Linked DNA regions of Astyanax mexicanus. The protein of the gene in region 1 purifies or fractionates together with the protein of each later gene. This does not show direct contact. Links are inferred from orthologs where the notes say so. Each region holds a gene or a part of one and is shown in the gene's direction. Other genes may lie near its edges.

Region 1 (3,754 bases):
AACGTGGTCTCGCGGACCGGGACTATGACGGTCAGTTTGATTCTTTTAATCGAACCGACTCTTGCAAACGACCTGCGTCTATTGATTCAGTGAATCATTGATTCGGGCTTATTGATTCAAAATAAGCGATTTTTTTCCCCCTCATTTATGATTAAACTGTCATTTATTGTTTTAAGTTCATCTTAAGTGTTAAGTTTATTATTAAAACAATTTATTTTTATTTTTAGGCTTTATCTTGTATGTTTATCGCTTATCCTGTAAAATAATAATAATACAATATTCTGAAATATTCAGAAATAGCGAATATGTCTGATTTAGAGTTTTTTAGAGTATTTTTTTTATCTTAACTTATTTCTAAGTTCCTTCAAGTAAGTTTTAAATGATCTAATCTGCTAAAAGTGTAAAAATAAAAGCAATAAGTTCGAAATAAGATGAATATTATAATAGAAGTTAACATAGATCCAGGCTTATTTGATTGGCAGTGCAGTGCAGAAGTGTATAAATGATACATGTATACTTATGTATACTATGTAAAAGTAGATATAATTGTATTTTTAAATTATATTTTGAACATATAATGTTACAGACTTTCACTAAGAATACAAAAGAAACTCTGTTAACTTGCAGAAAATGGCTGTCAATTATAAACATGTGAAAAATACTTTCAGAATATTCTTTTGTAAAAAAAAATAGATAATTTAATTATTTTTAAAATTGTTTATTATAAATGTTTGGAATAAAGGTTGGGTTGAGTGGTGACTCGTGAGTCGGTTCCTCTGATTCGGTTGGTGAGGAGTCGTGTGTGAGGAGTCGGTTGATTCAGTGGGAGCAGTAGCAGTGATGGCGGCGCGCACGCTGGAAACGTGTTTAGAGGTTTTGGAGAGGAGCGCGGCTCTGCCCGAGCGCTTCTTACGGTGAGAGGAGATCATTTACCCGGTTCTAAACTCAGGCAGGGCCGCGGAGGGCTGGTTCTGTTTGTTAGAGGAATTTATCAGGTTGTTGTGTTTAAATGGGGCAGATGGGGTTCAGTGCTGCAGCTCGCGTGTCTCAGTAACTCCAGCGTGGCTGCTTTAACTTTAGCTTTACAGCAGCAGTTCAGTTCTACCTTTCTCTTCAGAGATTCAGTGTGTGTAACAGTGTGTGCGTGTGTAACTGAGTGTCAAACACTGTGTGTAACAGTATGTGTGTAACAGTGTGTGCGTGTGTAACTGTCTTAACAGTTTCTGTGTGTGTGTGTGTGTGTGTGTGTGTGTGTGTGTGTGTGTGTGTGTGTGTGTGTGTGTGTGTGTAACCGCGTAACCGCGTGTGTTTAACAGCGTGTGTAAGTGTGTGTGCCTATGTAACTGTGTCCAGCCGTATGTCCAACCGCGTGCGTGTGCAATAATGTGTATAACTGCGTGTATGACTGTAAAAATGTGTGACTGCGTGTATGTGTGTAACAGTAAGTGACTGTGTGTAACTGTGTTAGTGTGTGTGTGTGTGTGTGTGTGTGTGTGTGTCTAGTGTAAGAGTGTGCAAAATAGCAACAATATTAGCTAGGTCACAAAATCTAATGACTTTTTTCCATGATACACAACATGTATTGATATATGTTGACTCACAGACAACCCAAGAAAAACACTGTTTCTGTCCATCCAATTAAACTGATAAAAAAAAGAAGTACAGCTGTTCAGTCATCAGTGTTTGAATGCTGATAAATAGGCCTGCGCAGTATAACATTTCATTTTGTTTGGAAGCTGTGCTTCTGATCTTCTACCAGTCACTAAAGGAATCCCTCTGGGTTCAGTTATAGGGTAGTTATATTTAATATATCAATAAAAATGTGTTGACAGATAAAGATTGTAAAGTACATCTGTATACTGAAGACTTACTTCTTTACTGCACTGCAAATATTGCAGAGTGGGCTGTTAAAAACTGCTTTGCCCTTCTGACTTCTTTCAGATTGCCTCCAAAGCCACAAATTAATTTGCAGATTTACTTCAGTATGAAAAAATATTACAATTAGGATGGTCAGCAACATTTATTTCAGAAAAGCAAAAGAGAAAGCTTATTTTTTCCGCTTAAATAAAGTAATCTAACTAATTAACTGGACAGTAGAGACATGAATCCGATAACGCGTTCTGTTAAATTTCTCATGTGTAGTTGATGTTGTATAGTGTGTGTATAGTGCTGGTGTGTGTTGAATAGTGTGTAGTGTATAGTGCTGATGTGTGTATAGCTCTTCAGGTGAGCATCTCTCATGTTCCTCCTCTGTGTTTATGACTGTAACAGGCTGCAGGATGCTCTGGCCTCAGACTTCACCGCCCTCACTAAGACCCTGTACGACCTGCACAAATCCCAGCCGCAGGCCGGCAGCACCGGCAGCCCACTGGACCAGCTGGTGGTGGAGAACTTCGATGAGGAGCAGATCTGGCAGGAGCTGGAGCTTCAGAACAGCACCGTGATCCAGCACTTCGAGGAGGCCGTGGGTCAGGCCGTCGCCGACGACACACTAACCATCATCACAGAGGAAGAGGAGGATGAGGAAGATGAAGGAGATGGAGAGAATGGTGATGATGAGGAGCTGGAAGATGATGAGGAAGATGATGATGAGGAGGACAACAACAAAGAAAACAGACTAAAGCCTAAATCAAAAGCAGCAGCAGCAGCTGATGATGAAGATGAGGATGAGGAGGAAGATGGATTTTCTGATGAGGACTCTGATATCGATTTTGATGTGGATAAATTAGAGAAACAGAGCAAACAGAAGAAGAACAGCACAGCGAAGTTCCCTCCCTCCAGGACTGTGTCGGAGGTGGATGATCAGTTCTTTAAGCTGGCGGAGATGGAGGCGTTTCTGGATGATATGGATAAGAGGGAGGGGAAGGAAGGTGTGGGGGAGGAAATCGATTATTTTCAGGAGTTGCCCTCAGACGAGGATGAAGAACTGGGCTTTGATGAGCCAACAACGTCAAAAAGTCGGAAAAAGGTGAGTAAGCGCTGTTTTTATATATATATTATAACCCGAGCTCAGCGATACGAGCTCAAAGCGCTGTCACAATAAAATAAACATTTCATTTTAATTATGATAAATGGAAAGTTCTTTTAATGAGAGACGGACACAGTGACCTTCTTTGTCAGGGGTAGAGTCACGTAACTACACACAATTAGGCCTGTCACGATAACATTTTCAGGATGATATATCGTCCCAGAAATTATTGTGATAAACAATAATATTGTCATTTTAAAGCACCACTATAGAAAATGCTTTTTCCTGCTTCTGGGCTCCCAAAGGAGCTTTAAGACAATGTGCCACTATATATATACTATATTATATACTAGCAAAATATTTTAATATCCTAAATAACTAAAACAAATAAAGTACAACCACCCTGTGTTCTAAAAAACTGCACTAAATAGTAAACAGACCCTTATTCAAAAAATAAAGTAACAACAAATAGATTAATGTTACATTTACATTAAGTATTTTTGAAAAAAACTCTGAACACATAGGCACTTGCAGATTCCTTTTTCTAATCATATATGTCAGGGGTGTCCAAACTTTTTTTGTTGGGGGCCAGAAGGAGAAATATATTTGAAGTCACGGATCACAGACTCTGTAATAAAACAAATAATGAAATATACCACTTTAAATAATACATTTTCCTGATTACTTTCATTTACACACCATTTTACTTGACTTACTATCTTTATCTTTGGCAGTGTTGTGTAAACTAAGATTTTTCAAATTGATGTTTCATTTCATGATGTCTCT
Region 2 (3,754 bases), on another chromosome or scaffold:
GTTGGACCATCAGGTCCAGTTCTTCTAGTTTCTATAGAGGAGAAAGTTCAGCTCCATTGTGAGGGTAATCTCCTTGATGAAAAGCTCAGATGTGAAGGTATGGAGGCTTTAAAAAAATAAAACGAAACAGGTTTGACTGAACGTTTCTTTCTTTTCATAAGAACAGAGTAGAAGCTCATTTCAGAACAACAAAACAACCAATAAATTACAGCAATTACTCAGGTATGCAAAACTGAACATATGATTCATAACGTCTCCATTCTGTATCAACCTGAGAGTTATTACATTATATTTACACCTCAACTGTGCAAATTCACAATTCTCACGAGTCAAGAGGAGAGAAAAATAAACAGGAAAAAGTACAAAAGTAACAAAATATACAACAGAAAAATAGAAAAATGAAACAGAAAGAAATACAAAATAAAAAAGCAGGAACAGAGGAAGGGGATAGGAGAAAAAAATAGTAAAGAAAAAAGAGAAAAGTAAAACTGAAAAAAAAAATTAAGATAAAAATAAAAAAGAGTATGAAAAATGACAGAAGGGAGAAGGATGGGACTGAAGAGAAAGAAAGAAAGAAAGAAAAGAGCAACAGAAATAAAGAAAGAAAACAAGAAAGAAAGAAAAAAATAAGAGAAAAATTAAGAAAGAAAGAAAAAAATAAGAGAAAAATTAAGAAAGAAAGAAAAAAATAAGGGGACAAGAAAAGGGACAGGACATAGAAATAGAAAAACAAATGAGGATAAAAATAATACAAAATTGGGGGGACAAAAGAGTACTAAAAATGACAAATAGAAGGGAGAATGATGTGAATAAAGAAGAAAAAAGAAAGAAAGAAAGAAAGAAAGAAAGAAGAGATGCAGAAAAAAATAAAAGACAGAAAGATCAACTAAAGAGGAAAACAAAGAAAGAAAGAAAGAAAGAAAGTGAGCTAAAAAGGAAACAACACAAAATTAAAAAAGAAAGAAAGAATAAGAGAAAAAGGAGATAGAAAGATTAAAAAAGGAGTAAATTGGACGGTAGAAGGTGGAAATGGGGCTAAATGGAGAGAGAATAATAAAGAAATTAAATGCTCCTCCCGGTCTGTAGGGGGCGCTGTTTCAGAGCCGCTGTGTTTCTCCTGCAGGCGGCCATGTGTTTCTCCTCACTCACTGTAGTGTTTCTCAGACTCCGCTAAGATTAGCTCTCTCTGTTTCTCTGTAGTTTAGCGGATTTAATCGGTAAAATGGTCCGAAAGCTGAAGTTCCACGAGCAGAAGCTCCTGAGGAAAGTAGACTTTATTAACTGGGAGGTGGATAATAACCTGCACGAGGTGAAGATCCTGAGAAAATACCACATCGAGAAGAGAGAGGACTACACCAAGTGAGTGTTTATACTGAATATACAGATTCAGCCTTTTCCTCTTTTAAAATCTTTTTAAAATCTCAGTTTGCCTGTTTTACCTTGTCTAACTGTTCTCTGAAAACTGAACCAAAAGAAAAATAACAAACAAGATCCAGCAGATGACAGACATGTCTCTCCAAACCATCACTGTTCATCAGTAAATTTTACATTTCATTTAAAGTAAATCAAGGGATCAGAGTCTGGAGGAAGAGTGGATGGAGAGACACACAGTCCAGACTGCTTGAGGTCTAGTGTGAAGTTTCCACCAATCAGTGATGATTTGGAGAGACATGTCATCTGCTGGTGTTGGTCCAAAGTATGGAGATGCGGATTTCATTTTCCAGCAGTACTTGGCACACTGCCGACACTACCACAAGTACCAATTGCGTTTATGTAATATTATTATAATTTTCTGAGACACTGATTGTTGAGTTTTTTATTGGCTGTAAGCCATAATCATCAACAAAAAAGAAGAAATAAATTCTTAAAATAGTGTATTACACTAACTTTACAATAATATTTATTTTTTTTTAGATACACTAGAATAAGGGTAAGAAAATATTAATGTTATAATGTTAATGTATTATTTTTTTTAGGTACAACAAACTGAGTCGCAACATCAGAGAACTGGCCCAGAAAATCCGCGACTTGGATGAAAAGGACGGTTTCCGAGCTCAGAGCACCTCACAGTTCCTGGAGAAACTGTACGTTTAGGAACTTTCCTCACCTCCTCATCTGTAGCTGATATTCTGAACAGTGGAATAGTGTAAAATAATGTGTAAGGATGTGTTGTCTGATTCAGTTTTTTCTCTTTGCAGCTACTGTATCGGATTGATCCCCACCAAACAGAACCTGGCTCTTGCAGATGCTGTCAGTGCTTCCTGCTTTTGTAGGTGAGTGAGTGAGAGAGAGTGAATGAGTTTGTTTGTGTGTGAGAAAACAGATCATGATGTATAAGTAGGTTTACTTATGGTGCAAAAGTCATTTCAGTGTCATGCTACAGATTAATTCTAAGTATAATAGAGAATTGTGCTTGAAAATAGTGTAAAAGTAATGATTGATTTCTCTCTATTATGTCTGACCTGCAGGAGACGGCTGCCAACAATTATGCTGAAGCTGCGCATGGCTCAGAACCTGAAAGCTGCCGTCACGTTCATCGAACAAGGACGTATCCTTACTTACTGTTTTAAAGAGCTGGTTCAGTTTGTTAGAACCAGAAGAAATGGTCCTATTGAAACCATGAAGCACCAAAAAAGCGCTTTCACCAGTTCTTAATAATTCAGTTTGTTTTGATTTAAGGATGAACACAGTGTGGACAAAACACAGGCTTACCTGTCATATGAAATTAGAATCATGTTATTAGAAGCGTGAATTTGAATCTATATCATTTGAACCTGATTTCTGCTTTTTAGAATCTAAAAATATCAATATTTAACTTATAAAATCCAACTAGGTTACATAATTCTGATCATTAATTAGTATTCTTATATATATATATATATATATATATATATGATTATTACAGTTCCTTCACTGAATGGCAGATATTCGTGTTGGGCCAGAGGTCGTCACAGACCCTGCTTTTCTTGTTACAAGGTCAGTTCTGTTTTTATTCTTTTTCTCTTTTTTTTCTTTTTAATTTAGTCATATTCAACTCCAGCTTTCACGTGATATCATCAAACGCAATGCAGGCCAGTGAATACTTTTGTCAGTATAGTATATCTACAGAAACCTTACAGTTCCCAAGTTGGTGCATCCCAACTGTTACATATCTTGTTTATCCATAGGTTTATTTGCATTATTTATTTATTACCTCCACAGGAACATGGAGGATTTTGTGACCTGGGTGGACTCCTCCAAGATCAAACAGCATGTCATGAATTACAATGAGGAGGTATGAATGCTATGCTAATGTCTGTCCTTTATCCTAGTTATTGTGCTGGAAAAATGTTTGTGTGTCTTGTTTCTGTTCTCACAACAGTCTGGAATTAATATAAACGGTTCCCAATTGAAAGTTGCCTGTTTTTATAATAGTTTGAATGTCTGGCCTCATGTCACCTACTCTGGATTTCTGTCAATTGGTTCTGAATTAGATTTTAAGATCCATTTCCGCTCTCAGGGGATTAATCAGATTAGTACTTTTGTCAGTGTGGGCAGTGTGACAAGTCCTGCTGGAAAATGAAGTTAAACATGCAATATTTTTGGGTGCTGTTGTGTACAATAAACAATACACAATACACTAACGTTGCTACCTAGTATGATAAGGTTTCCAGCTTGCAATCTAATGTTACTTGCTAGTGTGCTAATGTCACTACCTCGCATTTACTTCTTAAAAGCAAATAAATAATGTCTTGTCTTTTTTTCTTTCTTCCTC
Region 3 (3,754 bases), on another chromosome or scaffold:
TGAACAGGAACTCTCACCCACAGACCATCACTGTTCCTTCCTTTATTTAAATACAGAATGACCAACTGCTCTTTGCTGGTCGCCTTTTACACTCATTTACTCATCTACTCATTTACATCTGTTCATTTTATCATTTCATTTATAAGTTATAAATTACTGCAGGTGGTTTGGTTTGGTGTGGATCAGGATTTTTATCTCACATATAAAGTACAGTATTTTACTACCAAATATTTGTTATTTAAACTCGAATCTGAACAAAATTTTACATAAATAATTTGTTTTGTAAGTTAAATGTATTTAATTTTCTTTCAGTGCCATTTTAAAAGCAACAGTCTTCCATTTTCTAAAATATTCATAAAGCATCTCTTTGTTAATAAGTGTATTTAACGGATTTGTATATGGAAATAATGCTATTTTGTTTTAATTGTTTTTCAGCAAACATTTTTTTAAACATTTAATTTTTACCTTTTAATGACTGTAAAACCGAAAAACTGCAATGAAGTTTTACTGGAATTTAATTTAAATAAAAAATACAAAACTATTATTTTGATCTGATAGAAAACTTACTTTGTTCACTCTGTTCATAAAAAAAACTGTTTTTTTTTTCAGATTATTACTGATGTTTTAAAACCTAAAACATTATTAAATCTTATCATCACATTTTACTGCAGCAAAGCACGTAAAAGAATGGATCCATTTAATATACAATATATATTATAATATACTGTATTTTTTTGAGAAATAATTTAAGTTAATAAAGATTTTTAAATAGTACCGTTTTATCGTTAATAATTGAAACGTTGTTTTCTTTACGTTTATAGGACTTTTATTTTGAACGAGTCAGGCCGGAAGCTGGGTCAGTCGGTGGTAAACACGTGTGGAAGAGAAAAATCTTCAGAATGGTAAAAACTGTTTATTTTTATTAAATATATTTGTTTATTTTTATGTTATTAATTTAATAGTGTTATTTATATCCAGCCCGTCTGTGTTGATTAAACAGGAACTCTGTATAAAAACTGTAATTAGTTCTGAACCGCTAATCTATAAAATACTGACCGATTATTAAAAACACGATCAGGAGTTTAAACTCTATATAAGATACAGTTTATAGTGTTTATTGTGTTTATAGTGTTTATAGTGTTTATAGTGTTTATAGTGTTTAGCTTTAATGAGGCGAGTCCACCTTAACGCGTCGCCTTAAAATGCTGAACTGTTTAAGGTGGACCGGACATTTAAAAAAGAAAAACAGCTTTAAAATGAACGGTTTCAGTTTATAGTTTATAAATTATATAAAGATAACTTTATATACAATACTGTTTATAGAACCTGCATTTAAGAACTAAAGTGGGAAACCAGTAAATAATGTAGATTTGTACAGTAAAATAAAAACGATTTTAAAACGATTTTTTATCTCGAAACATATTTTACGTGTTAACATTAATTTTTCAAAATAGTAATATTAGTATTTGTTTGCAATAACTCAAGACTAACTTCTGAAGTATTTTCAGCTTTTCCGGTGTTTTTATGAAGATTAATCTAAATACAACTGATTTACCACAAGAAATGAAAAAGTCACTTATTTACACTAAAAATTAAAATGAGAAGACAGTAAGTTAACATTATATTATTAATGTATGCATTTGAAATTAATACAAATTACAGATGCACCAAGCAAAATGCCACTTTTTACCACTTTTTAAACTGTGTTTTAAGACAAAACACAGTTTAAGTTCAAAACTTTAATTTAAAATATTTATTGAACACAGACAAACCAGTAAAGCCCATTACATTTACCTCAGAATTTCTATTGTAAAATTAAAGCTATCTCAGCAGTTCTATTATAATAATGAATTTATCTCAGCAGTTCTATTATAGTAATAAATTTATCTCAGCAGTTCTATTATAATAATAAATTTAACTTCAGGATTTCTATTATACTAATGAATTTAACCTCAGAATTTCTATTGTAAAATTAAAGCTATCTCAGCAGTTCTATTGTAATAATGAATTTATATCAGTAGGTTAATTAATAACTGTATATGATGATAATCTCAGTGCTTTATAGTTTATGATCAGTGTTTTCTGATCGGAATTTTCTGCTGCAGCTTCGGCGGGAGATCCGGCTCAGGAAGGAGTACCTGTACAGGAAGGCCCAGGAGGAGCGACTGCACTCCATCGAGGAGAAGAAGCAGAAGCTGAAGTCTGCGTTAGATGGTGAGACTAAAATCTGTTCTAAAATAAAAACAAAACCTGGACTAATTTATAAAATGATGTAAGGATTCAGATTCTATGATTGTAAACAGGCTCTGATGTGAGAACCATGTCTACACCATCATAAAAATGAGAATTTTCTTATAGAATAAATAGTAATATAAACTGAATATGATGTCGTGGTGAAGATGTCACTTGCTTTAAATTTTGATTTTTTATTTATTTTTTTACAACAGAAAATCGTCTGATACCCACTGAGGTCCGTAAAGAAGCTCTACAGCTTCAGAAACTGCTGGAGTTTGATGATGAAGGTGGAGAAGGTAACTCAGTTCATGGATTTATCACATCTGCATAAATAATGCAACTATGGTTATATATATATATATATATAGATATCTGCTCATGTGAGGGATTTAAAATAGGACGAAAAAACCCTTTAAGAACCAAAAACTCTCTTTAGCAGAATGTTTGTCTCGATCCTCTTATGGAGTAAAAAGATGCTCTATAGAAGTTGTCAGGTTTTATAGTGATGTTTCTATAGTTATGTAACACTTTGAGATATGCTTTAAATGTAAAGTGTGTTACAAATTGATTATTATATGAACCTTGATTATTTGCTTCTTTTATTTGTTATTTTACTTGATATTTTGGTTTGTTCTTTTGTGTTTTAGATTACTTTTATTTATTTAATTTTATTTATTTATTATATGTATGTGTATGCATGTTTGTGTATGTGTATATATGTATATGTGCATATGTGTACATGTATGTATGTAAATATATGTATATGTATGTATTAGGTATTTTATTTCTGTCTGTAAAGCACTTTATGAGGTGCTCTAGAAATGTGCTTTATAAATAAAGCTTACTTACTTACTAAATAAAATGTATTATTTTTATTGTTATTAGGATTTAGGCTTCAGGTTTAGGGATAGTTTTTTTAAGGGTTTGGCTCCTGGGTTTAGGGATTAGAGTTTGGTTTAAAGGTTTAGGATTAGGGTTTAGGGTTTGGTTTTGGGTTTGGGATTAGTGTTTAGGCTTTGGGTTTAGGGCTCGGGTTTAAGGTTTAGACCTGCAGTGCACTGATTCTCTGCTGTGGTTCTGTTGGGATCAGGGGTCAGCTCTCATATGGATGATGAGTATAAGTGGGCCGGAGTGGAAGACCCGAAAGTGATGGTGACGACGTCCCGGGACCCGAGCTCCAGGCTGAAGATGTTCGCTAAGGTCGGTTAAAGATAAATAAAAGGATTAAAAGTTTACAGACTTTGTTAAACGTCTGTTATAAGTCTGTTTCACTGATCTGGAGACGATGTTTGTTCTCACATCTCTTATAAACCACTCCCTGTCTGTGGTTAACGTGGTGTTCATGTCAGCAGAGATAACGTTTAAATTTTTACTCAGGAAGTGAAGCTGATGTTTCCAGGGGCCCAACGCATGAACAGAGGAAACCACGAAGTTAACACTTTAGTGCACGCCTGCAAAGCCAACGGCGTCACCGACCTGGTCATCATCCAGGAGACGCGAGGACAGCCTGGTGAGTTCA

What was found.
Region 2: the proteins of mphosph10 (region 1) and imp3 purify together in Homo sapiens (affinity purification with mass spectrometry; 4 studies listed by BioGRID and IntAct, with this or other methods). This does not show direct contact. The link is inferred for Astyanax mexicanus from reciprocal best matches to the Homo sapiens genes MPHOSPH10 and IMP3.
Region 3: the proteins of mphosph10 (region 1) and imp4 purify together in Homo sapiens (affinity purification with mass spectrometry; 3 studies listed by BioGRID and IntAct, with this or other methods). This does not show direct contact. The link is inferred for Astyanax mexicanus from reciprocal best matches to the Homo sapiens genes MPHOSPH10 and IMP4.

Annotation. Positions count from the first base shown.
Region 1 is NC_064430.1:30,525,772-30,529,525, forward strand, and holds the start of mphosph10 (U3 small nucleolar ribonucleoprotein protein MPP10), read left to right. Parts: upstream 1-791; 5' UTR 792-840; coding exon 841-914; intron 915-2,271; coding exon 2,272-2,968; intron 2,969-3,754. UniProt on the Homo sapiens protein: Component of the 60-80S U3 small nucleolar ribonucleoprotein (U3 snoRNP). Required for the early cleavages during pre-18S ribosomal RNA processing. Part of the small subunit (SSU) processome, first precursor of the small eukaryotic ribosomal subunit.
Region 2 is NC_064415.1:56,932,423-56,936,176, forward strand, and holds the start of imp3 (U3 small nucleolar ribonucleoprotein protein IMP3), read left to right. Parts: upstream 1-1,090; 5' UTR 1,091-1,222; coding exon 1,223-1,359; intron 1,360-1,976; coding exon 1,977-2,084; intron 2,085-2,198; coding exon 2,199-2,273; intron 2,274-2,468; coding exon 2,469-2,548; intron 2,549-2,924; coding exon 2,925-2,976; intron 2,977-3,201; coding exon 3,202-3,274; intron 3,275-3,754. UniProt on the Homo sapiens protein: Component of the 60-80S U3 small nucleolar ribonucleoprotein (U3 snoRNP). Required for the early cleavages during pre-18S ribosomal RNA processing. Part of the small subunit (SSU) processome, first precursor of the small eukaryotic ribosomal subunit.
Region 3 is NC_064429.1:38,794,475-38,798,228, forward strand, and holds the start of imp4 (U3 small nucleolar ribonucleoprotein protein IMP4), read left to right. Parts: upstream 1-825; 5' UTR 826-899; coding exon 900-902; intron 903-2,105; coding exon 2,106-2,214; intron 2,215-2,447; coding exon 2,448-2,531; intron 2,532-3,325; coding exon 3,326-3,435; intron 3,436-3,612; coding exon 3,613-3,745; intron 3,746-3,754. UniProt on the Homo sapiens protein: Component of the 60-80S U3 small nucleolar ribonucleoprotein (U3 snoRNP). Required for the early cleavages during pre-18S ribosomal RNA processing. Part of the small subunit (SSU) processome, first precursor of the small eukaryotic ribosomal subunit.